4 linked regions of the Arabidopsis thaliana genome follow. The protein of the gene in region 4 interacts with the protein of the main gene of each other region in a pairwise test. Each region holds a gene or a part of one and is shown on either strand. Other genes may lie near its edges. The genes, in order: ROP10, AT2G43420, TH7 and CRK2.

Region 1 (7,603 bases), on a different chromosome or scaffold from region 4:
GGAAATCCCACAAATTGTACATCTGATATCACCAATAGTTTTGACCAAGTACGTTCTGGGGTCATGGGTTCCGCCCTTGATCATTCTTCTGGAGGCCTTGATCTTGATCTAAACAAAGTTGATGATTCAACTGATATGATCAGCTACACAATGAACAGTAGTCATCGGCTAGATTCATCTTTTCAGCAGGTTAAATTACCATCGACTGGTGGTCGTAGAGATTTTGATTTAAATGATGGACCTGTGGGTGATGATGCAGCTGTTGAGCCATCTATGGTTCTAAATCAACATTCACGAAGTGGCTTGCCATCACAACCATCTCTCTCTGGAATTCGAGTGAATGGCGAAAACATGGCTAGTTTCTCAACTTGGTTTCCTGCTGCTAACGCTTATTCAGCTGTGAGCATGCCTCCAATTATGCCTGAGAGAGGTGATCAGCCTTTTCCAATGATTGCCACTCGTGGCCCACAGAGAATGTTGGGTCCAACAACTGGTGTTTCCTCATTTACCCCTGAAGGGTACAGGGGTCCTGTTTTGTCGTCGTCTCCAGCCATGCCATTTCAGTCCACAACGTTCCAGTATCCTGTCTTTCCTTTTGGAAACAGCTTCCCCGTTACCTCAGCGAATTTCCCTGGTGCTTCTACAGCACACATGGATTCTTCTTCAAGCGGGAGAGCTTGCTTCCCCGGTGTCAACTCTCAAATATTGGGTCCTGGAGTTCCAGTTCCGTCTAATTACCCAAGACCTTATATAGTTGGCCTCCCAAACGGTGGTAGCAATGGCGGTGTTTTGGACAATGGCGCGAAATGGTTTAGGTCAGGACTTGACTTAAATTCTGGTCCTGGAGGTCATGAAACAGAGGGAAGAGACGAATCAACACTTGTGGCAAGGCAATTATCCTCATCTGCTTCCTTACCTTTGAAGGAGGATCAAGCAAGAATGTATCAAATGTCAGGTGGTGTTCTGAAGAGGAAAGAACCGGAAGGAGGATGGGATGGATATAGGCAGTCCTCATGGCAATAACAGTAGCTCAGAATCTCAGTAGGCCACATGAGCTTGTAAGCCCTCGAAATCCACAAACCTTAGTGTTTTATGACCTCTCTTTTTGTTTTTCTCTCTCTTACTAATGTTTCAGTTACATTTTTACTCTGCTAGTTACTAAGAGATGAGAGTGAATGTGATGCCACAAGGCTTCATTGGCTGGCCTGCTCTGTACAAATGAGGCATGGGTGAGTCAATTTGCGACTTCACAGTGGTCTCAACCTTTTTAAGAACACAAACCTGACCTCTTGGTTTCACCATCATGTAGATCTTCCAAAAACAGTCCTAAATTCACCGGAGTGGCCATTCTCTTTCAGAAGAGTCATCAACAAGGTTCTCAGCGAGAGACCCGCATCACCACCTCCCCACAAAGAGTTTTAAAAGGTGAAAACACACTTTTAGGTCATTTTTCATGCATGTGTGTATCTCTATACACCGGCTCAAAAAACTAGCGATAAAACAAATGTTGGTGGCTTTTGAGTGTGTTCAAAATGATAAAAAAAAAAGTCTTTCGCATTGTGGCTTTACATGTGTGCGTTAGGTGATGGGGGTTGTATTATAGACACAAGATTAGTTACTTCTTTTTATCTTTCTTTTTCCAGTTTGTAGATTTATTACTTCTTGTGCTGGTTCTGTTTGAAATTTACAGGCTTCTTCTTACTTGTCACGCTTTTGTCGTTTGGTCTTGGATCTCATAATAGGACCAAATAAATTCGAATATGTGATTAAGGATTCACCTTTTTTCGAAAGAAGCAAGTGTTAACCACGTTAAGTCGTGAACTACTCCAAGTTTTGGCTACAAAATGGCTATAACAATTCTATAAGGGTCAAACCAAATCGAAACAAACAAACATCAGGGTCACATATACAAACAGAATCGAAGAAGCTACTAATTGAGGCTCATCTCTGCCAGAGTCTATGTAATTCCGACTTATCAGAATCACAAACTGGCCAATTAGAAAAGAAAAGAAAAAAAAAGAAGTGAACAATCATCAGATGGAATTGACTCATCAATTCTTCCCACACAGAATGTTTCTGCACAATAGAGAAGCCAATCTATAATCATTACACAAACAAACAAAACTGTATGAAGAAGCTAAAGGTTGCATAACCAAATTCTAGTATTACATAATTTCTTAGTTATATATTAAAAAGAGTGAAGATTATTGAACTTACGAGAGACATCCGCTGCGAGGCTTCTGCTTCTTCTTCTTCTCCTTTTGTTTCACTGCTGGTTTAATTACTACTTTAATAGCAGCATCAAATACGGCTTTCACATTCTGCAAAAGCCATGAACCAAAGAAAAGCATATAGTTTGCAAGTAAAGAGTCACCTAACACTAATGACTCCTAAGTTTCCAAACACACATGAACAAGTGTACCTGTTGAGTTTTTGAGCTACATTCAATGTAATAAGTCGCTCCGATATGCTTGCGGAGTTCCTCTCCCTGTAACACATGAATGATTAAATCATATAAAACCTAGAGAAGAGAGAGTCTAGAGAATGTCACAACAATCTTTTCGGTTTCTACAGGTTGAAAAAGCACACCTGTGATGTAGTTACCGGGGACAGTCCAGGATGATCAGACAAGTAATGTCTATCTTCACGAAGATCTAGATAACGGAACATTGTAAGAAACATTACATATATGTGATTCTCAAGCATTACACAAGGAAATATGTTGGCTCCACTCTTATAGCTATCTTACCCATTTTGGTACCAACAAGCACAATGGGGACTCCTGGTGCAAAGTGTTGGAGTTCAGGGATCCACTGAACAAAATAAACGCTTCAAAAACATCAGAAATTCACATTTCATTCTTTGTTTTCCCAGTAAGAAATACAATGAATCCAATTTCCACAAACCTTTTTAAACACATTCTCATAGCTAGCTCGGCTGATCAATGAGAAAGCCAACACAAAAACATCTGCTCCTCTGTAACTTAAAGGCCTTAGTCTGTTATAGTCTTCTTGCCCTGCAAACATGAAAGGGTACTCATAATCATAAAACTCTTAACAGTCACTAATCTTCAACACTCCCTATAAAGTTCTCTATCTAAGAATCCCAAATCAAAAGCAAACTTGCTAGATGTTAGAAAGATTAGAACCACATAACATTAGTGAACTTGGTTATTCTGAGATATTCAAGAGAGGGATACAGAAATGTTACTTACCGGCAGTGTCCCAAAGGCCTAAGTTCACAGTGATGCCTTCAACCACAACATTAACACTAAAGTTGTCAAAAACTGTTGGTATGTAGTCCTGATACAATCCATCAAGCAAATCTTTAACTTCACGAGAACAACAAATGCGCAATAGAGTAAGAGGAAACACTGGTGAATCAAGAAAGCCACTAACTTTACAATGTAAGATTTTTCAGAATCTCCAAAAAAGGATTATTTTTGCACAATCCCTAAAAAAGGAGCTAACTTTGAAATACCATGCTAAAATTCTCGGTGAAAGAGTTGAAATTTGACAGACCCAGAAGTATATTCAACTAAAAGTGACGAAATTGGAGATGCCCGAAAGAACAATTTGATGAAAAATCAGCGAAACTGTGATTTACTTGATCAAATTTTAAACTTACAGTAGGGAATTTGTTGCTAGTGTAGCAGATGAGCATACAAGTTTTTCCAACGGCACCATCTCCAACAGTCACACATTTGATGAATTTTGAAGCACTCGAAGCCATTCTAACTCACCAAAAGCAAACAACTTTCAACGAAGAAACGCCCAAAAACCAGAGAGATTGTGAGAGAGATAATAGAGAGATAAATGAAGTGATTAACATGAGGAAGTGTGGTAATAAACTATATAAACCCCATATGATTAAAAAAACTAAACTCTCTTTTTTTTCACTTTTCTTTCAATATTTTCAAAGTTTCAATTTTGTATTTTTGTCTCTTTCGTTTTTTGGTTTGAAGACTGAAGAGAGGGAAAGAAGAGGGGCTCACATGATATATCCATCTAATCCACATGACTTTTCTAAATCGTTTCATATTTATCGCTTTTACAAATGTATTAGATTTTAACCCGTGGTATACCGCGAGACGATTAATTTTTTAAAGGTAATATATATTAAAACTTGCAAATTTTATTTTTATAAAATATTTATATTTTACGGTTTATAATTGTTATTAAGTAACGCTATGCCACGAATCTATAAGACAATTGTTAAAAAACTGAAGTTTTAACCCTTATTAAAACAGCATATTAATAATATTTTATAATTTTATAAATATTGATTCAAATACATCCACCATATAACCGAATTCCAAAATAAAACTCGTTCTGTAATTTCTTTACCCGTCCCGTGAGTTTTTTTTTAAGTCGTAATTTTTAAAATTTAAGAATTATTTATTATATATAAAAGTTTTGCAAATTGTATCATTCTCTAATACATTTATATTTTATAGTTTAATTTTATATATAGTAACATTATACATATCACATAACATTTTTGGTTTTATATAATATTTTCTAAATTAGGATAATTTGATATGTTTAATATTAGTGGTCTTAAAAAATAATAAATTAAAGATTTTACCCGTATTGAAACGGTGGATTAATTATATTTTACTTTTTTATTAATGTTGATTCAAAAACCCGTCCTTCTAAATCCGTCTTGCCAAAAAGCCATTTATTTTATTCATATTAATTTTATTTATGATATGACTCTGAATTCTAAACATTTTAGCTAATAACATAGGAGTGCACCATATTTATTTAATAGGGGAATGTACCATATGACCCGAATGCACTTTTATCCAAATCCACCAAAAAAATCTTGCAAAAATACTATAGAGATAAGAAACGATAGTCGGTTTTAATAGGTATAAGATTAGCAAATATATTAGTTAGCTTAAATTAGTTAAAGAATACAAATTAAAAAGGTATATTACACTTTATTCGAATATAATATCAAAACTTATATAACACAGAGATTTGATAAATTTTTAATTGTTGAATACTTTTTTTTTGTACAAATTTTTATGTGATTAAGATTTATTGATTTCGTATATAAAATATTAAATTGTTTTACGAACTTATTTGTTTATAATTTGGTAACAGAAAGATATTTGAATATTCGGTATATTTTGCTTTAGTTTAGAAAATCTTTGATGACCCGTCTTTAGATTCAACAAGCCCTATAATTAAGAAATGAATATTGTCGTTAAATGATTTTGGTAACCTTAATGATGTCATTAAAAGATTTTGTTTTTGATTAAATTTTTCTAATGGTATTGTCATGTAATTAATTACAAAAATTAAGGTTACATTTAAAATGTATTTCCCAAATAATATAGTAGGATTAAAAGGATACTAAAAGCTAATCACATGCTTAAGAAGCATTGATTATAGTACGTTATTTCTTTTTCTTTATCGGTTGATCCTTCTTATTTTGTTTAGCATTAAAAACTGTTATATTTTGCCATCATTTTTTTTGTAAGATTCTGGCATTACTCATTACCAATTAATTGTATAGATTATTTCAATAAAACAAATTTTACCTGGTTCTAGCTAGGAGAAATGAACATAACTTGGTTAAACACATATGTAGTTATAGAAGAGAGAAAGATATATATATATATAGGAATTAGGATTAACTCTGAATTGGGGACTTTTAAGTTTTGGAAAATAGCAACCAAACTTTTCCTTCTTTTTTTCTGTAACATCTGCTATCAAACTTATTCATCAATCTTAGTAAAGTATAATTTTGTTATTTCAAAACAAAAGTATCCAAGCTAAATTGGGTTTTCATATCTGATTTGTGGGTTTGATAAAATTGGTTACACACTATCGTGCTGCCAAAAAAAACAATAGACCCAAAAGGCCCATGTCTTTGGCCTTGTATGGCTGTATCATCAGAGACAAGGCAAATGATCCATCAAATTGAGATAATAAACTAGTGCATATATAGTAATCTACGTGATGATTTGTTAATAGACAAGACGAGTTTGTTATTTGTTAATTAATGATAGATAGCAGATTTTAATGGAATACTCTTTATGAAGATCACATGAAAATAAGCTAATAACCGAAATTGTAATATCTTTCAATGAAAAAACAGGTGCGAATGTGCGATCATTCCTAATCATCTTATTTGCATGATGTTACTTTAATTTATGGTAAGTTGATCACACACATTTCAATGCATTTGTGATGAACTTAATAATTAACCAACCGAAAGCAAGAAGCTATATATATATCGCTTCTCTTGCCTATTTAGATCTCCAAGCCTCCACTTTCTTACACTTTCAACTTCCATTAAAAGCAATCAAAGCAAAAAAAAATGAAGATTCTTGTCTTGATTTTGTTTTCACTTAGCACCCTTCAAAATGTTTGTGGATTCGATTATAACGAAACAGAACTAGAGAGTGAGGAGAGTTTATTAAAGCTATACAACAGGTGGACGAGCCACCATCACGTTCCTATGAAGTTCGAAACAAAAGAAAATAGATTCTAAGTTTTATTAGGTCATTTTTCATGTTATTTCGGAAGACTTAGAATCTATTTTCTTTTGGCTTGAGTTTCATAGAAACGTGATGGTGGCTCGCCCACCTGTTATATAACTTTAATAAACTCTCCTCACTCTCTAGTTCTGTTTCGTTATAATCGAATCCACATATATTTTGGAGGATGCTGCTAAGTGAAAACAGAATCAAGGCAAGAATCTTCATTTTTTTTATCCTTACACAGCTATCAAATGAGAATGCGACCCTTCAAAGGCACAAGGCGTGAGGGTAACCATCGATCAATTCGCATTTGTAGATCCATTCAACGAGGCAGCCCTTCTCAAGGCTGTTGCAAGCCAACCTGTAACAGTTAGAATTGATGCTCATCATCCAGATTTTAAATTTTATTCAGGGGTAATCGAAAAATGTATGCATTAATAAATTCGCAGAGACAAACCCCCAGAGAATGGTTGGCAAAAAGCATAAAGCTATAAATGAAAATTTTCAGTATAAAACAAAAAAAAGTTTCAGTAAGACAAAGCAAAAATTAAACGAGAAATACGTTAACCAAAAAGGCCCAAAACGGATTTGATGCTGTTTCTGACGTGAACGTTAGAAGTGAACCCAGTGGACTGTATCCAAATGTTATTTTTTCCAATTCCAACACTGGAATCTGACCCGATTCACAGAACCATCGACCCGACTCGTTTTACAGAACCGGCTCGTCGTCACACGGTCTCTGGTGACGAACAGGCCACGCGTGACTACATACATAATTTGGTTTCTCTTTTTTTTTTGTTCTTCTTGTTCCTCTTTGGTTTTTGACATTGGTTCTGGAGAAGATGAGTTCGGTAGAACCAGACATGGAAGATCTGTTCCAGGAGAAGAAGCGTGTCAGGAATCCTCTCGTTCCTCTCGGTTTGTGTCTTCTTCATTTCCTCTTTCTTCTGATCTCATTTCACGAAATCTCTTTTGGACTTTCAGATGTTTATAGGCTTCTCTTTACCAAATTGGTGATTTTAGTTTCTGGGTTTTTATCTACCCGATCCCTAAACACAGTTACTTGTTCCGTTTGAATCATGAGATTCAGAAATGATTGTGAAAATA
Region 2 (9,119 bases), on a different chromosome or scaffold from region 4:
GCCTGCAACAAGAAAAGGTCGATAAGAAGGCGATACTACCCAGATAGGTTGCCAAGAATAAAGCATCAAACATCAAGGAAACTAAACACACAAACTAACTAGTAATTTCAACTACACTACGACACCAATTCATATCAATTGCTTTCCTAAACAAATAAAATTGCCGCAAGGAGAAACCATCTCCTCTTTCTCTATTAAATCAGTGTTAATAGTTTCTCTTGCCTAAACATCAGATTTTGTCTGTAGGAGAAGTATGTAGTCCCCAAAGCCGGAAAGACATTAATACTTTCTGCAAAACATTCCTGTCTTTATCCATTGCCTGAGTCCCAAATAAACCAATCCCTGAACACTCCATTTAAGTACTCAAAGCCGGCAAGACATTGAAATTTGAGTCTGCCTGCAAATGAATATTTGTCTTGTCCACTGCAACTGTACCAATCCCAGAATGGTTGTGAAGAAGTCAACTTCCTAAGGAACTACAATGGGAAAGCCCAGATTGTACGTAGGGATGGGAATTGAGGAACAAACATGGTTCTTCGAATAAAGCGTTTCTGATTGGTAGAGTTAGCCGCCTTAACAACCACGTAATTTGTCTTCCTGAAGCATCGAGCCAAAACAAGCCCAAAACTCCCTCACACTGATATGGATATGTGCCAGCGATACTAGGAGTTAGGACGATACGGTTGCCAGAATTTTCTGTTTCGCAGATGCAGTTATTGATATCTACGTACCGCCATAGACAAATTTCTCCACGCGGTTTGATTTTTGCAGGAAACTGAACTTTTAAACTCCAAAATTTCTTATCTGTTTGGCCGATGATAGAGTTTGCTCGCTTCCAAATTTTCACCATTGCGAATTTCGAGTGGAGTACGCAATACATTCATACTCAAGCTTGTGAGATTTAACATCTGAAGCGAACCTGAAATCAGACTGCTAAACGCGGATACAAGTTTGCAGATAAACGACAATCGGATTAAACCTTCTTCGCATAAACGAGAGTAAACATGTGTTTGATGTATTCTTTTGCAGAGCTCATTCGCTAAGAGTTATATATGCTTTAACATCAAATTTTGCAGAGCTTCTCTGTGGTTTGGCTTTGCGCGAGTTCGATATAACCAAAGTAATTTGAGAAAAGACGTTTCGATCGGATCAGGTTTCGCCTTAAGCTAACGACGTATAATAGAAAAAAACTAGGTTTCGACTTTGATTTGTACGATGAGGAAAAAAAAAACAGATTCAACAAGAAATTTTTGGACTAAACAAGCATCATCAAAGTTTTGTGAACCTGGACTATGAATTCGCAAAAAGAGTATAATCGTTGACAAAAGACAATCAAAGTTAGAGAACAAACGAAGATATAGATAAGAACAAACCGGTCGTGCGTATTCGATCTTAATTTGACTTCCATTCAAATTTGCTCCTTGAAGAGCCTCTTTGGCTGCGACTGCTTCCTCCACATGTCTGTAGTATATAAACGCAAAGCCTCGTGAAGAATACACCGTGATTCTATCAATATCGCCGTATCTTCCAAACAACTCGGTCAGATCTGACTCTGTCGTCTCCGGCGTTAGGCTACCGACCCAAAGATTGTTTGACTGGAAACCGGAATCATCGGCTCTGAATGGCTTCATAGATAACGCCATCGGGATTGTTTCAATTGACGATCCTATGGATCCAAAATTCCAATCCCAGAATTGATTGTTTTACCTTTGGGATTATGAGATTTCGATTATCCACGTGACGGAAAACGAGAGACGAATTGTGCGATGATACGTTGAGCAAGAAAAATTCGATGAGAGATTTGGGTGTTCAAAATCCTACCTACAGAGAGGAGAAGAGAACCCTAGATTGAGTTTGAAGACGAAGAAGATTAGATTGTGAGAGAAAGAGAGGCCAGGGAATATCGAAGCGGCGGCTTTTAAAGGATATATAAGGATACTTTCCTTTTTTTTCTTTTTTTTTTGGAAACCGGATCAAAACGGTGCATTTTGATAGTAGTTATGGCAAATTCGTAAATAATCATATATCCATCCCCTCTCAGTGAAGATTACATCCTGATAGCATAATGTTTGTACATAAGACATCTAATAACTGCAATTAGTCTCTGGGATTGTTGGTGTTCGTTTAGTGGAGGACTTTGGAAGCTTCACATGAACATTGGTTTAGATGAAGCATCAGAAACAGGTATCACCATCCTTTTAATAAATGTTAAGCATTCGACGAATATCCGGGCTAGGTGGTAGAGCTCAAGCTCGTATTGCTCGTAGATGAAGAAACCGGTGAATGAGAACGACATAACTGTCCAAGCAAAGCGTAGAGAAAATGTTATGGATAAAGAAGTTGTTAATCATGTTTATGAAGTTGTTAATCATGTTTATGAAGTGTGAAAACAAAAGCTTTGTTCGAGTACCTGTGAAAAGAAATGCTGCCAATGAACGGGATACAATCAGTTTGAGGAGATACAGTGATCCTGCAATCTGTTTTTATGTTTTGTTTTAGGAAACGAGAGCAATGAGATATTTTTCATGTTTGGTGAGCATAAAGAGTAGAATTGTACCTTGAAGAACTTGATCCAGTCTCCTCCACTGCTTAAGGATTTAAAACTGCGAACTCCTTGATTCCAGACAACTACGATATCACTACTAAGATCTCTCACAGCGGATTCGGAGATCTCAAATCTCCATGGGGGTATTTTGTTGACTTGAAACCCGAAACTGTCAAAATAAATCAATCTGTCACTTAGTTGCATATAGATTTCAAAGGTGAAATATATATACATGGGTGCATCATCCTTTGATAGGACAATTTTGGTATCACAACTTATTTTCACTGCCTTCTATAATGGTAAAGTTCTGGAACCAATACTTACATCTTTGACGGCACAAAAGAGACTCCATAGAGAGCAACAGCAAATATAAACAGAAGTTGGGCTGCAGATGAAGTAAATGTGTTTCCAGAAAAGAAGAACCAGTAATAAAACAAGTTTAGGACAAGAAAAGAAACGAAGGTTTTCTTCTCATTTCTCCACAGCAAGATGTCTGCAACTGCATGAGAACATAGAGATGAAAAGCTAAGTCAGTTTAAAGAGATTAATATTAAAAGCTTGCATTGACCAGATTCGCTTTGAGTTTGTTTATATGTGCATGAAATAAAGTTGGAACTCGCATGAAATTACATGGACTGGAAGAAGATGTAAATTAACCAAGCAGATACTTCAGCATGTTCTAGACATCTAGAAGCAAACAAATCTAAGTTGAAAATAGAGATAGATTCTTTCCAGGTTAAGCCTTGTGAACATGCATCATCATATCCATAGCTAGATGAGATGCGGACTTCAAGCAATACAACTGAATACTTAGCCAAGAACACTTCAAAAAGGCATTATAATTGTTAATAGCGAGATGGTTCTAACCTTTCCCACAACCAAGAAGCTGATCTGCAGTAGATTGAATGATTGTGTCATCAGACTTCTCAAGATCCCGAGAGAACCATTGAAGCGTTGATGCAATACCATCCTACAAATCCAACAAGAGCTAATAAATCCAAGGAAGGTACTAAGCAGCTGAATATGCAAAAAGCCAAAATACTATCCAACAAACTCACTTCAAGTGTCACAACAGGTGTGTAACCAAGATGCTTCTTAGCTGCATTGCAGTTAAAAGTTCTCGTTGATGAAGCTAACAGAGCATACTGATGTGCTGTGTCATAATTACTCCCAAGGCCCTCCTTTTCATGTGTCCACTTAAGAAGTGAGAAAACATACAAAACCAGCCGAACAGGAAGTTTAATGGATGGTCTGCAATTAAAGAGGAAAAAAAAATATCAAAACAGGTAAACCAGAAAGTTAGCTCTAAGGATCTAAAACTTTTCAAAATGATCAATATTTAAGACATAGGAGAAGGAAACATATACGACCATGTATAAAATACTAAATATCAGCGAATCACCATGTATAGATAGTTTATATCTAAAAAAACTAATTGAATATGGCTGTTCTCGAAACGGTTCTTCTAGACATGTCTCCAGGACATCTATCAACAGAAAATTAAGATCTTTTGCTTTAAGAAGGGAACATTCAAGGTAGGTTCAGAAGTTCTGAGGAGCCTTTTTCCCATGCTACATTGATAATCAGGAAACAGAAAGATAAAAGGAGTTCACAGCAAGTTTCATTGTATCAAAAACTGTTCGGATGCTTATTTACCTTGGGTATCCCAGACCTTCAACTATATGGCTTACAAAGTCCCAAAATCTGACCGGCTTGAGGTTTGTGATAAAAAATTCCTACATAAAGTCGGCACAGTAAAAATTCATCACATATAAAGTTCATGCGCTTTCAGGAGTGATTTGGCAAATACACTTTGACTCAAAGAGGTTACCTTTCCAGCCACAAACTCCATCTGTGAATCTAATGCTTTAACGGCGCAAATATGTGCATGAGAAACGTTCTCCGAGTAAGTGAAATCAGAGATATTTTCACCACTCCCGAGTATAAACTGAAATTTTAAAAACTAAGACAGTCATTCCTCCAAAAAAGGAAAACTAAGAATGCATCAAGCTCAAGGAATACTACCAGGTATAATAAGATAATAAACGTAGACGCAAAAACGCAACAATGGGATGAACTAATAGTAAGACCTTTGCATATCCGGACTTGGCTAGATTCACCAAAAAAGGTACAAACTCTGTGTCACCAGGTCCAAATACAATGCTAGAGCGAAGTGCACAAGTTAAGAGACCATCTCGGTTGTTAGCCAATTTGATCAACGCTTCTGCTTGAGCTTTGAAGTCTGTCAACATAGATTGGAACTGCAAGAGAATCAGAGCAAAACAGATATCATCTCTGAAAAAGACCAACGACAAAAACCAACTAAACAAACATGCTCAAGGATTACCTTCAAAGGACGTCTCAAGGATTCATCACCATCACGTATAGGTTGGGAACCATCAAAAACAACATCAGCTGTACTGTTGTAGATAAGTTTTCTGACTCCAGATTCACGACAGGCAGAAATCACATTTCTTGTACCTATACGAGAAATCGATTAACCACCCAAGTTTAACTAATATAATGGTAAACCATCTTGAAGTGACTAAGAACTTTACCTTGAACTATAACCTTGTAGCAGTCAAAGTAATCATGGGAACGTAAATCAGTAGCTCCCATGTAAAATACAACATAGGAACCCTCGGTAACTGCAAGGAACAAAACAGTCACACCAAAACTCAAATCAGAACCCGAAAATCTCAAATAGCCAAACACTCCCCCATAGCATTTTCTAGATACCAAAAACCGATCCATCAATGTCATATCTAACAAAGTGCAACAGGAAATAAGAGGAAAACCTTTAACGATCTGAGGTTTATCACGAACATCGACGCAGTGATAAGAAGCGCGGCCGGAGGAGAGAGCATCCTCGAGGAGCGAATCGGATTCATCAAGATGGAGAGTGTGACCGGAATCTGCGACTCGGACTGTCCAGTTTCCGAGACGAAGCAATCTGGAGACAAGCGATCGACCAATGAACCCTCGTCCGCCGAGGACGACACATGTCTTGAGGTGAGAATCGCCATGGACGGAATCTTCGTCCATTGTTATCGCCGAATTAAACCCCAGCTCTATCGCCTTTTCTCGGTCGAGTCAACTCAGAGAAAAAGGCCGAGTCGAGTTGGATCAGTGCACAAAAAGCTGAATACTAGGGGTTGCTTGGCGGGCAGACTCTCCACTCGCGCAACCTTTTAGCGTTTTCCTTTATTCTTCGGCTGTGTAATTATAATTTAATATTCACACTTTTTTGCCATAAATCTATGGATTTGACTTAATTTATGTAAATTATCTGTATAATTATTCCTTGGTTACAAACAAATCTAGTAAAGCTAATATTAAATCGTAGACGCACGGTTGCGTTTTCACGTTTGGTGAGCCAATTCCATCAATCCACCAAACATATGATTTCCATTGTTAGAAATTTGGTAAGCACTTGTAGAGAGAAACTAAACCGTATCTATCTATACACTTGTGTATGTATGTTGAAGCATTCATTACACTTGAAAATCTCATAATTTAATAATTGAGTTTAAACTAAATATTTAGATTTTTTTGTGTTGAATACACAACTTCAAATGATAACTGAAGAAAGCCCAAAACATATAAAATATTGATCTTTGCAGCTGATGATTGACTTGCAAATTTTTCTATACAAATAAGAAAATATACCCAAGTTTTCAGAAACGATCTCTGGCTCTCTGTATACGACGCAATGCTTCAGCTTCGGTTGCTGAGTCTGGAATGCTTAAAGATTTTCGGATATCTTTGCTCGATATTCTGAGGAATGGGTTACACGCTTTCTCAACCTTGACAGTCGTTGGAATCTACAGACAACAAATCCGTAAGTAAATGAAATCTAGAGAGAGGTTTAGAGAGAAAGAGGAGATAGGGAAGAGATAAGAGGTTTTACCGATGGGAGCCCCTGGCTGCGAAGATGGGCGACTCGAGTTGCATAGGACTGAAGAGTTTCATTCTTTGGTTCTACGGATAGAGCAAACTTGAGATTGCCCTGTATCATGGAGGAGATATAAAAGAGAGTTGAACAATGTGAATTAAGAGTATTTATGTGCGTGGAACTTACTGCTGTGTTTTCACGGCCGCAGTATATATTTGTATCGTCTGGTAGAGACACGATCTTTTGGAGTGATGAAAGCATCTGAGTCATAAGGCAAAAAAGGTTTTCTCGTTAAAAAGGACAGAGCACAATAAGTTTGCTTCTGTGAAAGAAACTACAATGTACGGTTATTAGAGTACTCCCAAGTCCCAAGTGATCTCTCCATAAAGTCTATACCATTTGACTCAGCACAGTTTGCCACAAGAAAGTAACCATAACAGTAAAAAGATATGAAGGTTGAAAAAGAAACATGATTTAGAAAACCACAAATCACTTGGCACAATTTTTGCCACAAGAAAATAATCATAACAGTGCAAGGGTCGAGAAGGTTGAAATATTGCTTTTTGAAATTGATGTTACCTGCTCAGGGGTACCTTCTGAAAGGGTACCACAGGATAAGCTATATATCAGGTCTCCTGTGAATATTGTCGCTGACCCGGGAAAGTAGAAGCTAATATGGCCTGCTTGAGAATAAGTACAGTTAAGTGATAAAACATGGCACCAAGTATACATTAATTACTAGTTGTACTACACTAGAACGATAAAAAAGGAGAGCAGTTACACAGTAATGTATTGAGGATAACAAATTAGAATGACAAATAAGATACTAATATGTGATCCACCAAAGGTTTCTAACGTTGGCAATATTTGACTGTATAGATGTGTTCTTAGTATTTTACAGTAGAGGTTATGGCAGCTACAAACCTTGTGTATGGCCAGGAGTGTCAAGTATCCGAACCTCATGGCCAGCAAACATCCACTTATCACTATCCTTCAGAAGTATGTCAATTCCAGGAATCCGATCTTTATCTACAGCTGATCCAATCACCTGTCGGCAACATAAGTCACATAAAAACACTTGAGTATATATAAAAGAAGCAAAAACGAAAAGAACAACTCGACAAAGGTGCAAAACAAAAAGGTCCAAAAAACCATTTTTTCTGGTAAGACTAATACTTTACGACATCTCAAAACCAAACCATTGTATTGTAGAGCTCAATGTTTCACAGCTATCAGAGGCAAGAGACACTCCAAGGAAACAAAATAAAAAGAGGGCTAACTTGCGCAAAGAGCAGAAACAACACAAGAAACAAGGTCATACAGTTTTAAACAGAAAATAGTATCCTCTTACCTTTGCGCCATACCTTTCTTTCAATTCAGCATTCCCCCCAATGTGATCATCATGATGATGAGTATTCAAAATGTAAGTTAAATTCCAATTCTTCCTGCTCAATGCTTCTATAACAGGTGCAGCCTCAGAAGGATCAACGACTCCAACTGTTCCGGTGTCTTCATCGTGCAACAGATAAGCATAGTTGTCCTTACTGCAGGGCACCTGAAACATCTCAGTAAAATAGATCGTTAATAATATCTTCAGCAGATTGTTACAGAGTTGTTTCAACCAGTAGATTCAAGATGAAAAGCATACTAACCAGTTCGATTTTTAATGAGGATGGCATGTTGGAAATGCTACAAAAGTGAGTAATCTTAAGAGTTTTTCTAGCTCCACGCAATGTTTTCAGTGGCATGGATAATAACCACATTACTCCGTATAATAAGCTTTTCCTGAGGCAAAGTTGTCTCAAACCAGGCCACACACAAAGCTGACCTCCAATCTGTTTCATGAAATTCAATCAACAAATCATAATCTGACACAAAATAGTACTATAAGATAGCCAAACAAAGACTACTAAACACAGTTGACAAAAAAAAAAAACCCATAGAAGCTTATAATAGATAATTCAACCGCCAGTTTCACCAAACCAGTCAATAGCAGATAGTAATTGAGCCTTATGATCGAATCAGTAACACTAGCACACATTCAAAGGAATCCACAGAAACAATTTTCCAGCACACAAACGAAGATCGGTATAGTGAAAATCTGAATAAACTCAAAAAAGGCTAAATCTGGTACCAACCACAAAACCAGATCGGAATTATCAAAAGCAAAGACTGAATCAAAGAGAAGAGTAAAAAAGAGGAAGAGAGATTAAACCCTAGAACACGAAGGAATCGATGAATTGGTGGTGGTAGATGAAGCTTTGGAGATCACAGGCATCCTCTATATATCTCTTCTCTCTGATTCTTCAGATAGAAACGAGAGGATATGATTGTGGTACCTTTGAAGAGGCCTCCTTTGAGAGATATTGCGCGTAGATAGAAGAAACTCAGAATTACTCGCCTGAGCTGTGATGACGAGTCTGCGACTTCGACAGGAAACAACGTCAGAGCTAAAGAGACAGCTTTTACTCTTTTTTTTTCTTTAGTATTTTGTTTTATTTTATTTGTTTTTGCTTTTTATTTATTTAGCTCAACTACTAAATCCCATCAATAAATTGTTCCGTGCTATCTCATATAATTCATACAAATATTTGACCACGGTTTATTATTTTCTTTATTTGAATTGGGTAATAAAGTTGTTACCATATGCTCTGTTATTATTTATTAAAGTTGTTTTTG
Region 3 (6,297 bases), 4.6 Mb from region 4:
TCTGAGAAAGTCTTTGATGGTGGCGTCGGCGGTGGCGGGAGGTTTAAAAGTGCGGAGGCGGGAAGTCAGACGAATAGGAAAACTCCGGTGAACAGGAAAGCTCCGGCGATTGAGAGTAAATTGGCTTGTACTCTTGAGGAGTTGTATAAAGGTGGGAGGAGGAAGATGAAGATTTCCCGCGTTGTTCCTGATGGTCTTGGGTTAGTATTTCATAACACATGATCTAAATGAAATCGCCTTTTTTCATTCAGTTTCGTTCGTTATATTAGTAGTTCGTGATTACGTAAATTATATTTGGAAAAGTGTTGACCAATTATTTTGTGGTTTCTTGTATGAGTCAATGGATAATCCTCTGTATATATGCTCTGTTTTTGTGATTTATCTTGATGGTAAAATTTTGTAATCAAGACGAAACAATTATCCAAATTGTTGTGTTTTTGACATTTTTCTTTGATAAGTTTTCTTTATTTTTCTCTGTTTAATGTTGTTGTTATTATTGGTTTTTTTTTTTGTTTTTTTGACAATTTTCCTTTGTTTAATTGCGTTTTTATCTCTAGTGATGTTGATATTGTTTGATGATTGATGTACCTAATTATTTTCTTGTTGCTACGTTTGATTTTTCTAAGCCTAGTTGCTTTTTTGGTTGTGATCAATATATATTCATGTTTTGATATCAGAAAGTCAAAGCCAGTGGAAGAGATCTTGAAGATAGATATAACACCAGGATGGAAGAAAGGAACTAAGATAACTTTTCCAGAGAAAGGAAACCAAGAACCCGGTGTTACTCCCGCAGATCTCATCTTTGTTATAGATGAGAAACCGCATTCGGTTTACAAAAGAGACGGTAACGATCTTATTGTAGACAAGAAAGTTTCGCTTTTGGAGGCTTTAACAGGGATCACTCTTAGCTTAACAACACTAGACGGGAGGAATCTGACTATCCCGGTTTTGGATATCGTTAAACCGGGTCAGGAGATAGTGATTCCTAGTGAAGGAATGCCCATCTCTAAAGAAGGTTCAAAGAGAGGAGATCTAAGAATCAACTTTGAGATATGTTTCCCCTCGAGGCTAACATCGGAACAGAAGACAGATCTCAAGAGAGTTCTTGGTGGTAGCTGAATTGGCAACTAGTTTCAAGAAAGCTCTTGAATTCAAAAGGTCAATTCAGTGTACATACATATACAGAATTGATCGGTTTTCGTTTTTGATCTCATATCTTGATCACGAAATAGTAAGCAGAATTGATTGTTTTTTGTTGTAAAAGCTATCTTTGTTGTTATCTAATTTATTCTGCTTTCATAAGTTATATATGTAACTCTCAACTTCATACAAGCTCTTCGAAAATGTTATGTAACGTTTGTTTTTTTCCATTTAGTATTTTAACATATACTTGGAATGGGACTCTTTTTTTTTTTTTTTTATGGTATAGTTCTTTTAGTCGCCATACTCACATTACCATTGTTATGTTGTTTTGCTTACGTTGGGGTGATTAGATTTCATACAAATATAACTACAACATTTTTGTTAATTGTTTTCATTTTTGACATTATTATTTATATTGTTTTGAGAAATTAAACAACAAACCAGAAACCCAACTTCAAACAATCAATTCAGAACAGACATTCAAAAGTATAATAATCATTTTTTTGTAAGGGAAAAGAAAAAACTTAAACCCTATGTTGTTCAATCTTCTTCACGAGCTCATCAGGTTTGGCTCCAACAACCCTATCAATCTCTTCTCCTCTCTTCACAAAAACAAAAGCTGGAAGTGTAATAGCTCTATATGTCCCAGCCACATCCTGGAATACATACCAATTATAGCTTAGTCTTGAAACCATAAGATGATTCTTCTTCAAGTAATAAAAAAAAAGAGTAATTACCATTAGCCTATCCACATCAACCCTAGCAAACACAGCTTCTGAGTACTTTGAAGCAATCTCCCTAACTCTAGGTTCCATTGCTTTACAAGGTCCACACCATACAGCTGTGAAATCAATTACTAGCTTCAAAACCACAATAATTTTTTCAGTTAGTTTAAGAGAAAAAACATGTCATTTACTTGTAAACAAAATTAGAAAACACAAATAGTATAAGATTTAAAACAAACATTATAAGTTTGGTTAAAAAAATTTAATACGTTTTAGGTAGTTTTCGAGTAATGTATACCAATTTGTTTGAGCCTTTCATGGAATCAAAGAGAGATTTCCATTGTCTTCTTGATTCGATTTCCACAACAAATCCATTACTGGTAATTTCCATTGATGAATGAACATCATGCACAGATGAAACATTGGAACCCATTATCTTCGGAATGTGTATGTATGAAGAAATGGTGTTCACTTATTTGCTAGTGATATACTGATATGCAAAGAAGAGAGACAAGGAGGAGCATTATATAGCTTTTAATCGGAGAACTTAATTTGTTGGTTATAAATAAATAAGTAAATGCAAAGGAATATGATTCAATTTGCTATCCTTCTTTAGTTCTAGCCGTTGATTTTTTTATTTTTTCAAGAATATATAGCTTATACCAATTTAGTTTCGCTTTGTGTTTTTAAAATTCCAGTTAGTTGTTAAATATTCTCCACTACATAAAAATATAGCTGGTTGCAAGGAACTAGCTTGCCTATCACATTTGCAAACGAATTTTTTATTTTTGTGGGTGGATAACAATCCGCGGCGGATCGATTTTCTAATTAAAAAATGGTAGCCTAGGTACTTGATTTATTAGTTTAGATTAATTAGTTATTGTCAACGCTATAAATTAAAAGTAGTTAAAATTTGTTTTGTTTAAATAATATATGCACCATCCACTTCAAGGATCTAATACCTATATAATATTAATGCTATTAATTACTATAAAAATAAAAATGTCACATGGCAGGAGAGTTTCTAATGAGAACTCATTTTTATTTTTTTCCTAATTGATGGTGATACTCTTATGTCTTTACTGAAATCTTTAATTTACATTTACATAAAACTTTACAGAACGAAATTAGATTAGAATAAAACGAGAAAAAAATTTGCAAAATGACCATGCATGTCATTGTAAATTTGTAATGTTGTTTGGTGTGTCCGTGTGTAAGAATATTGATTTGTGTTAAAAAGAAGCTGTCATCAAATTCTTCCTCAAGGTCCTTCTTATTCCATTTCAGTACTTATAGGAATCATTGTCGAAAATGAGTTTGAAATTAACAATTTATTCGATACTGGGGGACAAGAAATGCACGTCGTAGCCACGAACATCATCTTTAACTTTTTGCCCATAAACTTTCACATCATCCTCTTATAATTCTCATTCTCAAGGAACTAGGAATGCTGATTCAAAAATACAGTTCGGTGATGCTCGAATATCTTAAATTTTAGAACATATTGTTGGGGTTTAAGATCTCGATTTGCAAATATTAATTTGAAACCATTTTTTGGTCTGATTTCTAATAAAATTGAAACACCACTGTTTTATAAGAACTAAAAAAAACTTGTAGAAATGTTGCATCAAAGTATGCTTTATAAAACATTAAATATATATATGTTGGGATCAAAATATGCATATATATATATTATATATATATATATATGAAGGCGTTATCAAAGAAATACAACAAGTTTTTTAGAAAACTGAAAACATTAAGGAATACTTCTTAAATTTGTAAGTACCCTTCCTAAGACTTTCTTTCCCTTACTTTTACTGTATTTGGAATTTTGGAATTGTGTAGTTTAAGACTTAAAAGAATTCTCAAATATTTATTGTACTGGTAATTCATAAAGTAAACTAATCACGTTTAGATATTTAAACATGTGTAGAAAATCGTTTTTAATTTAGATTTTGCCTTTGAATTTATTCATTTTTTAATCATAATTTATCGATAATATTACACATGACTTTCTTAAAGGTTGCATGAGTTCTGCTACCCACATATTTCTTTATTCCTAGCTCGATCTATAAAGATTCTAATATAAGTTTTTCCACAATCTAAAGAATTTTATTCCATGAAATCGTATCCATACAATTTTATATTGTTGATTTTCTCTCTTTTTAATTTATGTAGGAAGAGTAACACAATTAGTTCAATACCTCTGTATTTACTTTTCTGCTACTAAGCAATATATTACAGTTACTTATAAAATAGTTCTGTATAATAGTTCAATAAAGTTAGTTATATTTTTGCAAACAGAAAGTGTGAAAAAGATACAAGAGCAGAAGAAACGATTCTTAAATACAAGTGCAAGTGCTTTTTCCTTGAAATATACGGTGATTTGAATCACAAACCTTCTTAGCTAAATGACCATCTTATGATAAAAACAAGATGTGGCCGCCACGAGAAGTCTAAGCAAGGAAGTAGGTGCATATGATGAACTAGGTACGCCGACGAACATAGAAAAAAATGAGGTACAGATTAAAATCCATTTGTGGAGTATACACAAAATGTTTGTTTGAAAAACAAATTATGAAGAGTTTCAAGATTGTTTTCAAGGAACTATCAATAATTTATGTTTGACTCTATATGTAGACTGATATGCAAAAGATCAAGTGTGGATGAATGAAATTGGATTGGATGACATTATTTTGAGGCCAGGGGATAAAGATTATAGAAGTAGCAATATTAAATGTGGTAGATTTAAAACAACGACAATAGCATGAACTAAGTTTTGCTGCTGGTCACTGTCATTTATCGCTGGCCAAAATTAGACGCATCCTAATAATTAGCCCACCTTATGTTGAAAACCTAATTAGGCTAAATACACTAGAGCATACTTCGCTAACACATCGAAAAACACTGAAAACAAACAGGACGTAGGATCAAGTTGCTAACTCACGTATCTCATCATAGTAACAAAAGAATTAATAACTGCACAGCGAGAGATAAATTTAACCCTAATCTAAAATAATGAAGAAGAACATTGTGGATTTTAAGGTACAACATATTTCGTCTGTTCAATCTTTCACACCACTTAGCTCTCTCGTATTTGGATTATATTGTCCAAGTTTGGCCCTAGCCCATACTTTACTAAAGCCCCATTAAATAACTTCAACAATGTTCAACCCAATCTCACAATCACAAATGCCACTTTTTGGTTACATTCTCCTTTTCTATGTTTTTCCAAAGGTTAAATTCCTTTCTTATGGCTTATGTTGGCTTATGACGTATCCAACATTTCACTATCAAGTTTGGGTTTAAACAAAACAACTGGTGTGGTGTAGATTGAACATTCGCTTTCTCATGGATTCTAAAACGTATAAAAAGAATAAAACCTTAGGTCCACAACTACAACTTATGAGGTAGAAAAAAACAAAACTTATGAGGTAAAATATATATATAACTTCAGAAAATATGAGGTATATATCGATTTATTGCGCACGTAATTTATATATACTATATTTACCCATGCATAAGTATTCACGTATCTCTATAGTCACTGTATACGTGTATGCTTACGTAAGAATACGTACATGACATATTCATGGAATTTTTCGATGCATACGTATATTTATTTTTGATAACTTTGGATGTTTCGTATTAATTTGGTATCGCTTAACATTCTCTTTTTTATTAAACAATTAGTTTTTCAGTCTATTGACTTGATGCCTTGATGGCAATTCAAAAATTTGATAAATCTTTTGACTGCTAGCTCAATTAATTTCTCTTTTTTTTTTTGTTAATATTTTTTTTATAAATCAAGTGGTATTCCAAGCATGAAAAAGGTTTCATGAAGGGTCCAATCACAATAAAATAGTTCATATCATCTTGGTACGAAATTAGGGGGTAGAATATGTATTACATTATATCTAAAATTCTGTTTATTTTTCTAATAATTAGGAGGTTTTGGCATACGTCCATGCATTTCCTCAGACTCAGAACCAAAACATGTTATATGGTCTCGTCCTAAAAACTACTCGAATGAGTAACTTCAAGATTTTGCCATAAATTGTTACCAGTTGAACTATTGAATCTTGATAATTTAATTATCTTTGTTTACTTTGTAGTTTGTGCACATGCATGGTTCATTATTTTTCAACTCGAAATCCCAAAAATATAGCGTCCACTATAATATGTCCACCTCTCGTTCTTGCTGTTAAAATTTTCCACTTGCGTTGATCATAAATCCACCTTGACGAATGTTTATTTACTTTTTGATTTTCTATTGAAGAATAATTTAAGAAGGATTATTGTTCAATAGATTGTACGATTTAGTTATTATTCAAAAGTTATTGTTATTTTCAAAATATTAATTAGTATTGATTTTGTAGTTCTTTTAAAATCTAGTGTTATTAGTATACACTTTGTATAATTTATA
Region 4 (8,381 bases):
TGGAAGCTAAAGGTTACGGACAAGTGGTCAACGGTACCGGAAACTTAACCGTCTACGCTTACGGAGAGTGTATAAAAGATCTTGATAAGAAAGATTGCGACTTGTGTTTCGCTCAGATCAAAGCTAAAGTTCCTCGTTGCTTACCTTTCCAAAAAGGTACTCGTGGTGGTCAAGTCTTCTCAGATGGTTGCTACATCAGGTTTGTTTCTCTCTCACACTCATTTCAATCCGATAAAAATCTTAACTTTATGGTTTGATTGATTCTTGCATTTGGTTATAATCGATTGTTGTATCTTTGTTTTAGGTACGATGACTACAATTTCTATAACGAGACGTTAAGCTTGCAAGACCGGACAGTTTGTGCTCCAAAGGAGATTACCGGAGTAAACCGGACGGTATTTCGGGATAACGCTGCAGAGTTGGTTAAGAACATGAGTGTGGAGGCGGTGAGAAATGGTGGATTCTATGCTGGTTTTGTGGATAGACATAACGTGACGGTTCATGGTCTGGCTCAGTGTTGGGAGACTCTTAATAGAAGTGGTTGTGTTGAGTGTTTGAGTAAAGCTTCAGTGAGGATTGGTTCTTGTTTGGTTAATGAAGAAGGTCGAGTTCTTAGTGCTGGTTGCTATATGAGGTTTTCTACTCAAAAGTTTTATAACAATTCTGGAAATTCTACATCAGATGGTAATGGTGGTAAGTAGAATAAGCTTGAAATATGATTTAAATTTAGTATATGTTTGTAACATTTATTTAGCAACATTCTTGTTGATCAGGTCATAACCATTTGGGTGTGATTTTGGCGGTGACATCTTCGGTTGTGGCTTTTGTTCTGTTGGTCTCTGCCGCTGGTTTCTTGCTTAAAAAGAGACACGCCAAGAAGCAAAGAGGTTTGTTCCATAAAGAATTAGTTAAGATTTATGTTCCAGAAATAGCTTAGTTTTCAAGATTAGTCATAGAGTTTGAGTGGTTATAATAGTGAAGTCTTGATCTTAACAGATATTTGTGTGTGTGTGTGTGTAATGTAATGTAGAGAAGAAGCAACTAGGGTCATTATTCATGCTTGCGAACAAATCTAATCTCTGTTTCTCCTATGAGAATCTCGAGAGGGCTACCGATTACTTCAGCGACAAAAATAAGTTAGGACAAGGAGGATCTGGCTCTGTCTATAAGGTAAGTTCTGTTCTTATTATACATTTTCTAGAGTTTCATGTTGGAATGTTCCTACTTCTCAATTGGTTAACTCTTTGCCCTTTTTGTGGAGTAGGGAGTTCTTACTAATGGTAAGACTGTTGCAGTAAAGAGACTGTTCTTCAACACAAAGCAATGGGTGGATCATTTCTTCAACGAAGTTAATCTAATAAGCCAAGTAGACCACAAGAACCTTGTTAAGCTCTTGGGATGCAGCATAACTGGACCAGAGAGCCTTCTGGTCTATGAATACATTGCAAATCAAAGCCTCCACGACTATCTTTTCGGTTTGTTTTTGTCAATCCTAAACCTTTTACTACAGTTACCATGTCTTGATGGATCTTTTATTGACTTGTTCTTGTTGCTTTGTTTTGGTTCAGTAAGAAAAGATGTTCAACCGTTGAATTGGGCAAAGAGATTCAAGATTATACTTGGTACAGCAGAAGGAATGGCGTATCTTCACGAGGAGTCAAATCTTAGAATCATACATAGAGATATTAAGCTGAGTAATATCCTTTTGGAAGATGATTTTACTCCAAGAATTGCTGATTTTGGATTGGCTAGATTGTTCCCAGAGGACAAGACTCATATCAGCACTGCCATCGCCGGTACACTGTAAAGTCTCAAAACTTATCTTTGTAACTTTAATATCTCTCTCTACCGTTTCTTGTGTTGTTTCTGAAGATTCTTACTTGTGGAAACAGAGGCTACATGGCACCAGAATATGTAGTACGAGGAAAACTAACTGAGAAAGCAGACGTTTATAGTTTTGGAGTTCTTATGATTGAAGTTATAACCGGAAAACGTAACAATGCCTTCGTACAAGACGCTGGTTCGATCCTACAATCGGTAAACTAACTCTCTACAAGTAGTTCAAACATTTTCTTGATTTTAGATCAAATCCTTTTTCTTGAATCTTGAAAACATATTTTAGGTATGGAGTCTGTACAGAACAAGCAATGTGGAAGAGGCAGTGGATCCAATCTTAGGTGATAACTTCAACAAGATAGAAGCGTCACGGCTACTTCAAATTGGGCTTCTCTGTGTTCAAGCAGCGTTTGATCAGCGGCCTGCGATGTCTGTGGTTGTGAAAATGATGAAAGGGAGTTTGGAGATTCATACGCCGACGCAACCACCGTTTCTGAATCCAGGAAGTGTAGTAGAGATGAGAAAGATGATGATGACTCCCACGACGAATCAGTCTAATTCTTCAGGATCAAGGAGTGACTACATAACCGAGGGTTCGAGTTTCTTTGAACCTAGATGAGGTTTTAGATCGTGTTAGATATATCAGTATCCTTTCGTGTGGATTCTGAATCATCTTGTGTCATATGTACAAAAATTGAGATGCCAATTAATCGTGTGTTAGCTAGGAACTGAGGGTTACTTATGTGCCACGACAATGTCATAGAAGCTAGGAAGTGAACAATGTAGAGCTTACATGACGGGGACAGATTCCGGTTTAGCCTCGGTTTTGATTGTAGTGATTCGGTTTACGGTTCAGTAGTTTTATTTTGTGTGTTAATTTTGAGTAGCTTTGTATATTAGTAAGCGGTTTTTGTGTTTGTTCTCGTTTTAACTTTACAAAAAGAGAAAGAGTAAATGTCATATTTAAATAGAAAAATGCAACCACAAATGCAAAGAAATTCGAGTAAAACCAAATAATGCCATAAGGATATTTACCTAAGAATCAAAATATGAAACATATTAAATGTACACAAGAAAAAAATCAAATCACTAAAAATTCACTAAATTTATTACCGCAAAGTTTGGATCATGATCTCCTAATTTTTGCACAAGTGGATTCGAATCAAGGACTTTTTATCAGTGTTTTTGTTTTCTTTCAAGGAAGCCATAGGAGACTACTAGATAGAAACACATATACTACATATGTCTTTATTATAGCCAACTAGATTTAACATTTTTAGAATTGAATGTCCAACTACTTCTCATTTTTCTTTGCAATTGATCTTGAATAAAACTTTGACCATGGCAACATGTAAATGGTATTTTGTTATATATATTTTTATTATTTGTACAACTTTTATTGTACTATACCAACTAGGCCTACTAAATCAACCCAACAAATTGACAAAAAAAAAATCAACCCAACAAACCTATTTCTTTATTTAAAGTAGTCTAACGTCACTTTATCCATTTTCTTGAATGTCATCTTACTAAACACTACGCATATGTGACGTTTTCTTTTTTCTTTAACTAATCAGAAAATTGAATTTTTCATGATACCGGTAAAGAGATTTATCCAATTAAACCGAACCGGCTCCACATAAGATAAGCTCTATTAATTATTAGTCCACTGGTTTTTAGGTTTATGAAAACGACAAATATTTGAATGAAGACAACGACTTCAACAACATGATCGAGCTGGTTTGGTTTCCAAGTGTGAATTCAAGACTAAGAAGAAATCCAACAATCTCCATTATCAATTTTTTTTATTAACTTTTTGACTAAACCAGTAGAGAGAGAGAGAGAAAGACAGCAAATTTGGTTGACTCTAACAAACCAATATCATCAAAGTCAAGCAGTTGAAAATTCTTCAATTTCATCATCTCCAATTCTTAATCTCTCTGCTTCTTCTTTCTTCACAACTTGAAACAGAACACAAAACCCTTGATGAGGGAATAAAAAAAGGAGATCTCTTTCTCAATCAAACAAAACAAAATGAAGAAAGAACCTGTCCATATCCTTCCTCTGTACCTTCCATGTCTCTTGATGTTTCTTCTTTCATCACTCCGTCAAATCACCGGAGACGCAAGGGCTAGAGCCGTTAAAGTCACTTGCTCACCTTTGCTTGAGCACAACGAAACCGCTTATGTCCCAAATTTCGTAGCCACAATGGAGAAAATCAGCACACAAGTACAAACTTCCGGTTTTGGAGTTGCTCTCACCGGTACAGGACCAGACGCTAACTATGGTCTTGCGCAGTGCTATGGTGATCTTCCTTTAAACGATTGTGTACTCTGTTACGCGGAAGCAAGGACGATGCTTCCGCAGTGTTATCCTCAGAACGGAGGTAGAATCTTTCTTGATGGATGTTTTATGAGAGCTGAGAATTATAGTTTCTATAATGAATACAAAGGACCTGAAGATAGCATCGTATGTGGAAACACGACGAGAAAGAATAAGACTTTTGGTGATGCGGTGAGACAAGGGCTGAGAAATGCTGTTACTGAGGCTTCTGGGACTGGAGGGTACGCTCGTGCGTCTGCAAAGGCGGGTGAATCTGAATCTGAATCAGCGTTTGTGTTGGCGAATTGTTGGAGAACTTTGAGTCCTGATTCTTGTAAACAGTGTTTGGAGAATGCCTCTGCTTCTGTGGTTAAAGGATGTTTGCCATGGTCAGAAGGACGTGCGCTTCACACTGGATGTTTCCTTCGGTACTCTGATCAAGATTTCTTGAATAAGATACCAAGAAACGGAAGATCAAGAGGTAACACAATAAAAAGATTCATGCTTTCTATAGAATCTCATTCGCTTGATGGTCATAAGTAATTGTTTTTGCAGGCTCTGTGGTAGTGATTGTGGTGTCAGTACTTAGCTCTGTGGTTGTCTTCATGATTGGAGTAGCAGTAAGTGTTTATATCTGCAAACGTCGGACCATAAAGAGGAAGAGAAGAGGTAAGATTAGTTTCTTGATTTGTGATGAATTGGTTTAAGAAGGATTGAGTGTTTTTAACCGAGATCTTTGGTGCTTAACAGGATCAAAAGATGTTGAGAAAATGGCGAAAACACTAAAAGACAGTAGCTTGAATTTCAAATACTCAACACTAGAGAAAGCCACAGGTTCTTTTGACAACGCGAACAAGCTTGGACAAGGCGGATTTGGAACTGTCTATAAGGTATGTGTGTGTATGATCATGTCTCTCTTTCTATACCTTCCTGTAAAGCAAATGAGTGATATAGTGGTATCTCTCTGGCTTGTTTAGGGGGTTCTTCCAGACGGAAGAGATATCGCTGTGAAGCGGTTATTCTTTAACAACAGACATAGAGCAACCGATTTCTACAATGAAGTCAACATGATCAGCACTGTTGAACATAAGAACCTTGTTAGGCTGCTTGGTTGCAGCTGCTCAGGACCAGAGAGTCTCCTTGTCTATGAATACCTTCAGAACAAGAGCCTTGATCGATTCATCTTTGGTAACTACTACTAATAATACTATATGATGAGTTTTTATTGTTGAATCTTGAATGCAGCAGCACACTAAACCTGTCTTCATTATTACTTTTGCAGACGTGAACAGAGGGAAAACATTAGACTGGCAGAGAAGATACACGATCATCGTTGGAACCGCTGAAGGATTGGTGTATCTGCATGAGCAGTCGTCTGTGAAAATTATTCACAGAGACATAAAAGCAAGTAATATTCTGCTAGATTCAAAGCTTCAAGCTAAAATCGCCGATTTTGGTCTGGCGAGATCATTCCAGGACGATAAGAGCCATATTAGCACTGCCATTGCAGGGACCTTGTAAGTATATATTCAGAAAAATGTACCATTTCTTCAAAAAGATATGAATGTTTGAGCTGATCCAATACTTGTGAAACTGCAGAGGTTATATGGCTCCGGAGTACTTAGCACATGGTCAGCTAACAGAGATGGTAGACGTTTACAGCTTTGGAGTTCTTGTACTAGAGATTGTAACTGGAAAACAGAACACCAAAAGCAAAATGTCAGATTACTCAGACAGTTTGATCACAGAGGTAAGTTAGACATATTTTGTCTATGGGTCTGCAGGTTTCACTTCTCAAACTAATTGTGGTGTTATGTTTTTTATTGAAGGCATGGAAGCATTTTCAGTCAGGAGAGTTGGAGAAAATATATGATCCAAACCTCGATTGGAAGAGTCAGTATGACAGTCACATCATCAAGAAAGAGATAGCAAGAGTTGTTCAAATAGGGCTATTGTGCACTCAAGAGATCCCTTCGCTAAGACCACCGATGTCTAAGTTATTACATATGCTAAAGAACAAAGAGGAGGTCTTGCCATTGCCGAGTAATCCTCCGTTTATGGATGAAAGAGTCATGGAACTTCGAGATGGTTCTGATGGTGATTCAGCTGGTTGTGCATCTCTTGCCACTGTCTCACAAAGTTCCTTTTATGGTAGATGAGCTTTGAAGAAGTGTATAAGAAGAAGAGAATACAAAATCTTTGATCTTTGAGCAGAAACTAAAATTTTGTGTATAAACCAGTGAGAGAAGCTAGATAGTATAGGTAAGTTATATCTTATGTATCATACTTGATAACAAAAAAAAAGTACTCAATAATTCAAGCTCTAGGTGCGATTTCTTCAACCAACCCATAGCTTCAAACATTTATCTTTAATAGTTTGCAAGCTTATAAACGGACTTGCGAGTTTGCAAGAGAGAAGACAACAGAAACAAAGAATGAAATGTCTGAGAATTTCCCAACATATGCCATCTTCAAAAAAATGTTATCCTCATCCACACCAGACTTGCAAACATATAAGATTGGTGGTTCAATGCAGCAGTTTAAGGTAGGTACTCGAGCTCAAGCTTTGTTGTTGTTTGTGCTCCTGCTTTCTTGTTGTGATCTCAGAACCAGGCTGCTTCTATCTGGACACATAGATCAGAACTTAGAAACTATGTGCTCCTGCTTTCTTGTACGGGATCTCAGAACCAGGCGGGCTTCTCTCTGGACAAATAGAGCAGCATTGGTAGGTTGATGTCAACGTGTGTTGTATTTGTCAAGTCCTCAGAAACTGGCTTCTGCTCCACAAACCAAGACTACCTGTAGCAACCACCACAACATATGTTAGGAACAGACAAATTTTTGTATACAAAGAAACCATTTAGAATAAAAGTAGCAATGGAGTTGAAATTATTCAACTTCTTAAATTGATCATCATTCATGTTCTCTCTTACCTTTTGATATATAATATTTTGTGAGCGAAAAAGATGATTCTTTGTAAACGTTATATCGAAAAAAAGTTTCAACCAAAACGTAACTTCCTTTTTGGTTAGATTGATATAATTATTCGTAACTGGAAATCGAATCTAATTTAGATTTCCTCTACAATATCAAATCCCCAACGGTTAGATTAACAATAAACCAAAAAAAAACCATCCTTATAAATACACACACTTAGATCACGCATTCTCTTCTTCTTCATTCATGAGAAATCAAAATACGCTCTATTCTCACGTCCTTCTTCTTCGAGAAACCAAAATCATTCATCGTTCCCATCTTTTCATACCTGTTCGCTTGATGATGATCCATGTAATCCTCGAGTTCATCATCTCAGAATCGTAATTGATTCTCTCACGTCCTCTCTTTCTTGACCTAATTGAGAAGGAAGAGATCGGGGGCAGTGAAAGCGAGGAGCACCTAAGAAGACGATTCCAGGACCTAATCTAGAAGGAAGAGATCGGGAATCCAAGTACGATCAACTTTTGATCAAAGACAGAGGAAATTATACAATAGACAGAGGAAGATTCCGGCGAAACTCCAAATTTCTCCGGTTTAACACACCAAACGGGGGAAGATGAATTGCGATGATAGGAGACGACAAGTATAGAGAAGAGTCAAAAACGAATGAAGAAGACGGAGAATTTCGGAGGAGTTGCAACAAAGACGCAGCAGCAACTAAGGGCTTTTCAGACGAGTTCACGGTGGTCTTCGAATGGGCTTTTTTCATTGGGCTTTCTTTGCTACAAAATCCAACAAGGTATTATTTTTCTTCAATTATTATTTTTTTTTCTTTTCTCTAAAAAATATTTTTTAGTAAAATTATAATTAAATAATAATAGTTTTCACTAAAAATTTAGAAACAATTTAAAACTTAAACTTTAAGATAAATAATTCTTAACTTTTAACTAAAACCATGTATTTCACTATTATTTTTTTAAAATTAGTTTAAGTGTTAAATTTTAAAAACGTCGGGAACTAACCGCGCCTAGGCATCCCGTCCTTAATTGGTCTGTAAGTCTTGAAGTGTTCGAAGTTCGGTAATGTTTTCACGTAATATAGATTTGACACTTCAACTCATTTTTAAAAAATAATAATGATTTTCACTAAAAATTTAAAACCAATTCAAAACTTAAACCTTAAGATAAATAATTAATAATTTTTAGTTAAAACCATGTTAATTTTACTAATACTTTTTAAAAATTAGTTTAAGTGGTAGATGAGGCTTGAATAAGTGTATAAGAAAA

Evidence for each region.
Region 1: the proteins of CRK2 (region 4) and ROP10 interact in a protein complementation assay, tested with the Arabidopsis thaliana proteins (one large-scale study listed by BioGRID).
Region 2: the proteins of CRK2 (region 4) and AT2G43420 interact in a protein complementation assay, tested with the Arabidopsis thaliana proteins (one large-scale study listed by BioGRID).
Region 3: the proteins of CRK2 (region 4) and TH7 interact in a protein complementation assay, tested with the Arabidopsis thaliana proteins (one large-scale study listed by BioGRID).

The regions. Positions count from the first base shown.
Region 1 is NC_003074.8:17,727,690-17,735,292, reverse strand, and holds ROP10 (RHO-related protein from plants 10), read right to left. Parts: upstream 3,957-7,603; 5' UTR 3,733-3,956; coding exon 3,628-3,732; intron 3,303-3,627; coding exon 3,215-3,302; intron 3,017-3,214; coding exon 2,907-3,016; intron 2,814-2,906; coding exon 2,750-2,813; intron 2,655-2,749; coding exon 2,590-2,654; intron 2,489-2,589; coding exon 2,423-2,488; coding exon of another isoform or gene 2,381-2,422; exon of another isoform or gene 2,322-2,380; coding exon 2,218-2,321; intron 2,077-2,217; coding exon 2,052-2,076; 3' UTR 1,780-2,051; downstream 1-1,779. Other genes in the region: protein SUO, read left to right, coding at 1-1,023; AT3G48030 (hypoxia-responsive family protein / zinc finger (C3HC4-type RING finger) family protein), read left to right, coding at 7,339-7,414. UniProt on the Arabidopsis thaliana protein: Acts as a negative regulator of abscisic acid (ABA) responses.
Region 2 is NC_003071.7:18,029,347-18,038,465, forward strand, and holds AT2G43420 (3-beta hydroxysteroid dehydrogenase/isomerase family protein), read right to left. Parts: upstream 5,837-9,119; 5' UTR 5,591-5,836; coding exon 5,344-5,590; intron 5,194-5,343; coding exon 5,104-5,193; intron 5,027-5,103; coding exon 4,893-5,026; intron 4,807-4,892; coding exon 4,636-4,806; intron 4,494-4,635; coding exon 4,377-4,493; intron 4,282-4,376; coding exon 4,202-4,281; intron 3,797-4,201; coding exon 3,604-3,796; intron 3,516-3,603; coding exon 3,413-3,515; intron 3,045-3,412; coding exon 2,870-3,044; intron 2,715-2,869; coding exon 2,558-2,714; intron 2,478-2,557; coding exon 2,411-2,477; intron 2,299-2,410; coding exon 2,147-2,298; 3' UTR 1,922-2,146; downstream 1-1,921. Other genes in the region: FPA (RNA binding protein), read right to left, coding at 1-2, 1,374-1,643; GLX2-1 (glyoxalase 2-1), read right to left, coding at 6,223-6,369, 6,456-6,554, 6,627-6,701, 7,020-7,120, 7,365-7,488, 7,792-7,995, 8,093-8,275, 8,656-8,718.
Region 3 is NC_003070.9:21,951,092-21,957,388, forward strand, and holds TH7 (thioredoxin H-type 7), read right to left. Parts: upstream 2,390-6,297; 5' UTR 2,302-2,389; coding exon 2,167-2,301; intron 2,004-2,166; coding exon 1,881-2,003; intron 1,800-1,880; coding exon 1,668-1,799; 3' UTR 1,506-1,667; downstream 1-1,505. Other genes in the region: AT1G59725 (DNAJ heat shock family protein), read left to right, coding at 1-200, 678-1,119. UniProt on the Arabidopsis thaliana protein: Probable thiol-disulfide oxidoreductase that may be involved in the redox regulation of a number of cytosolic enzymes.
Region 4 is NC_003070.9:26,582,824-26,591,204, reverse strand, and holds CRK2 (cysteine-rich RLK (RECEPTOR-like protein kinase) 2), read left to right. Parts: upstream 1-3,576; 5' UTR 3,577-3,870; coding exon 3,871-4,639; intron 4,640-4,713; coding exon 4,714-4,827; intron 4,828-4,908; coding exon 4,909-5,048; intron 5,049-5,135; coding exon 5,136-5,346; intron 5,347-5,440; coding exon 5,441-5,675; intron 5,676-5,757; coding exon 5,758-5,908; intron 5,909-5,987; coding exon 5,988-6,317; 3' UTR 6,318-6,476; downstream 6,477-8,381. Other genes in the region: CRK3 (cysteine-rich RLK (RECEPTOR-like protein kinase) 3), read left to right, coding at 1-199, 305-693, 774-887, 1,031-1,170, 1,265-1,475, 1,569-1,803, 1,893-2,037, 2,123-2,455.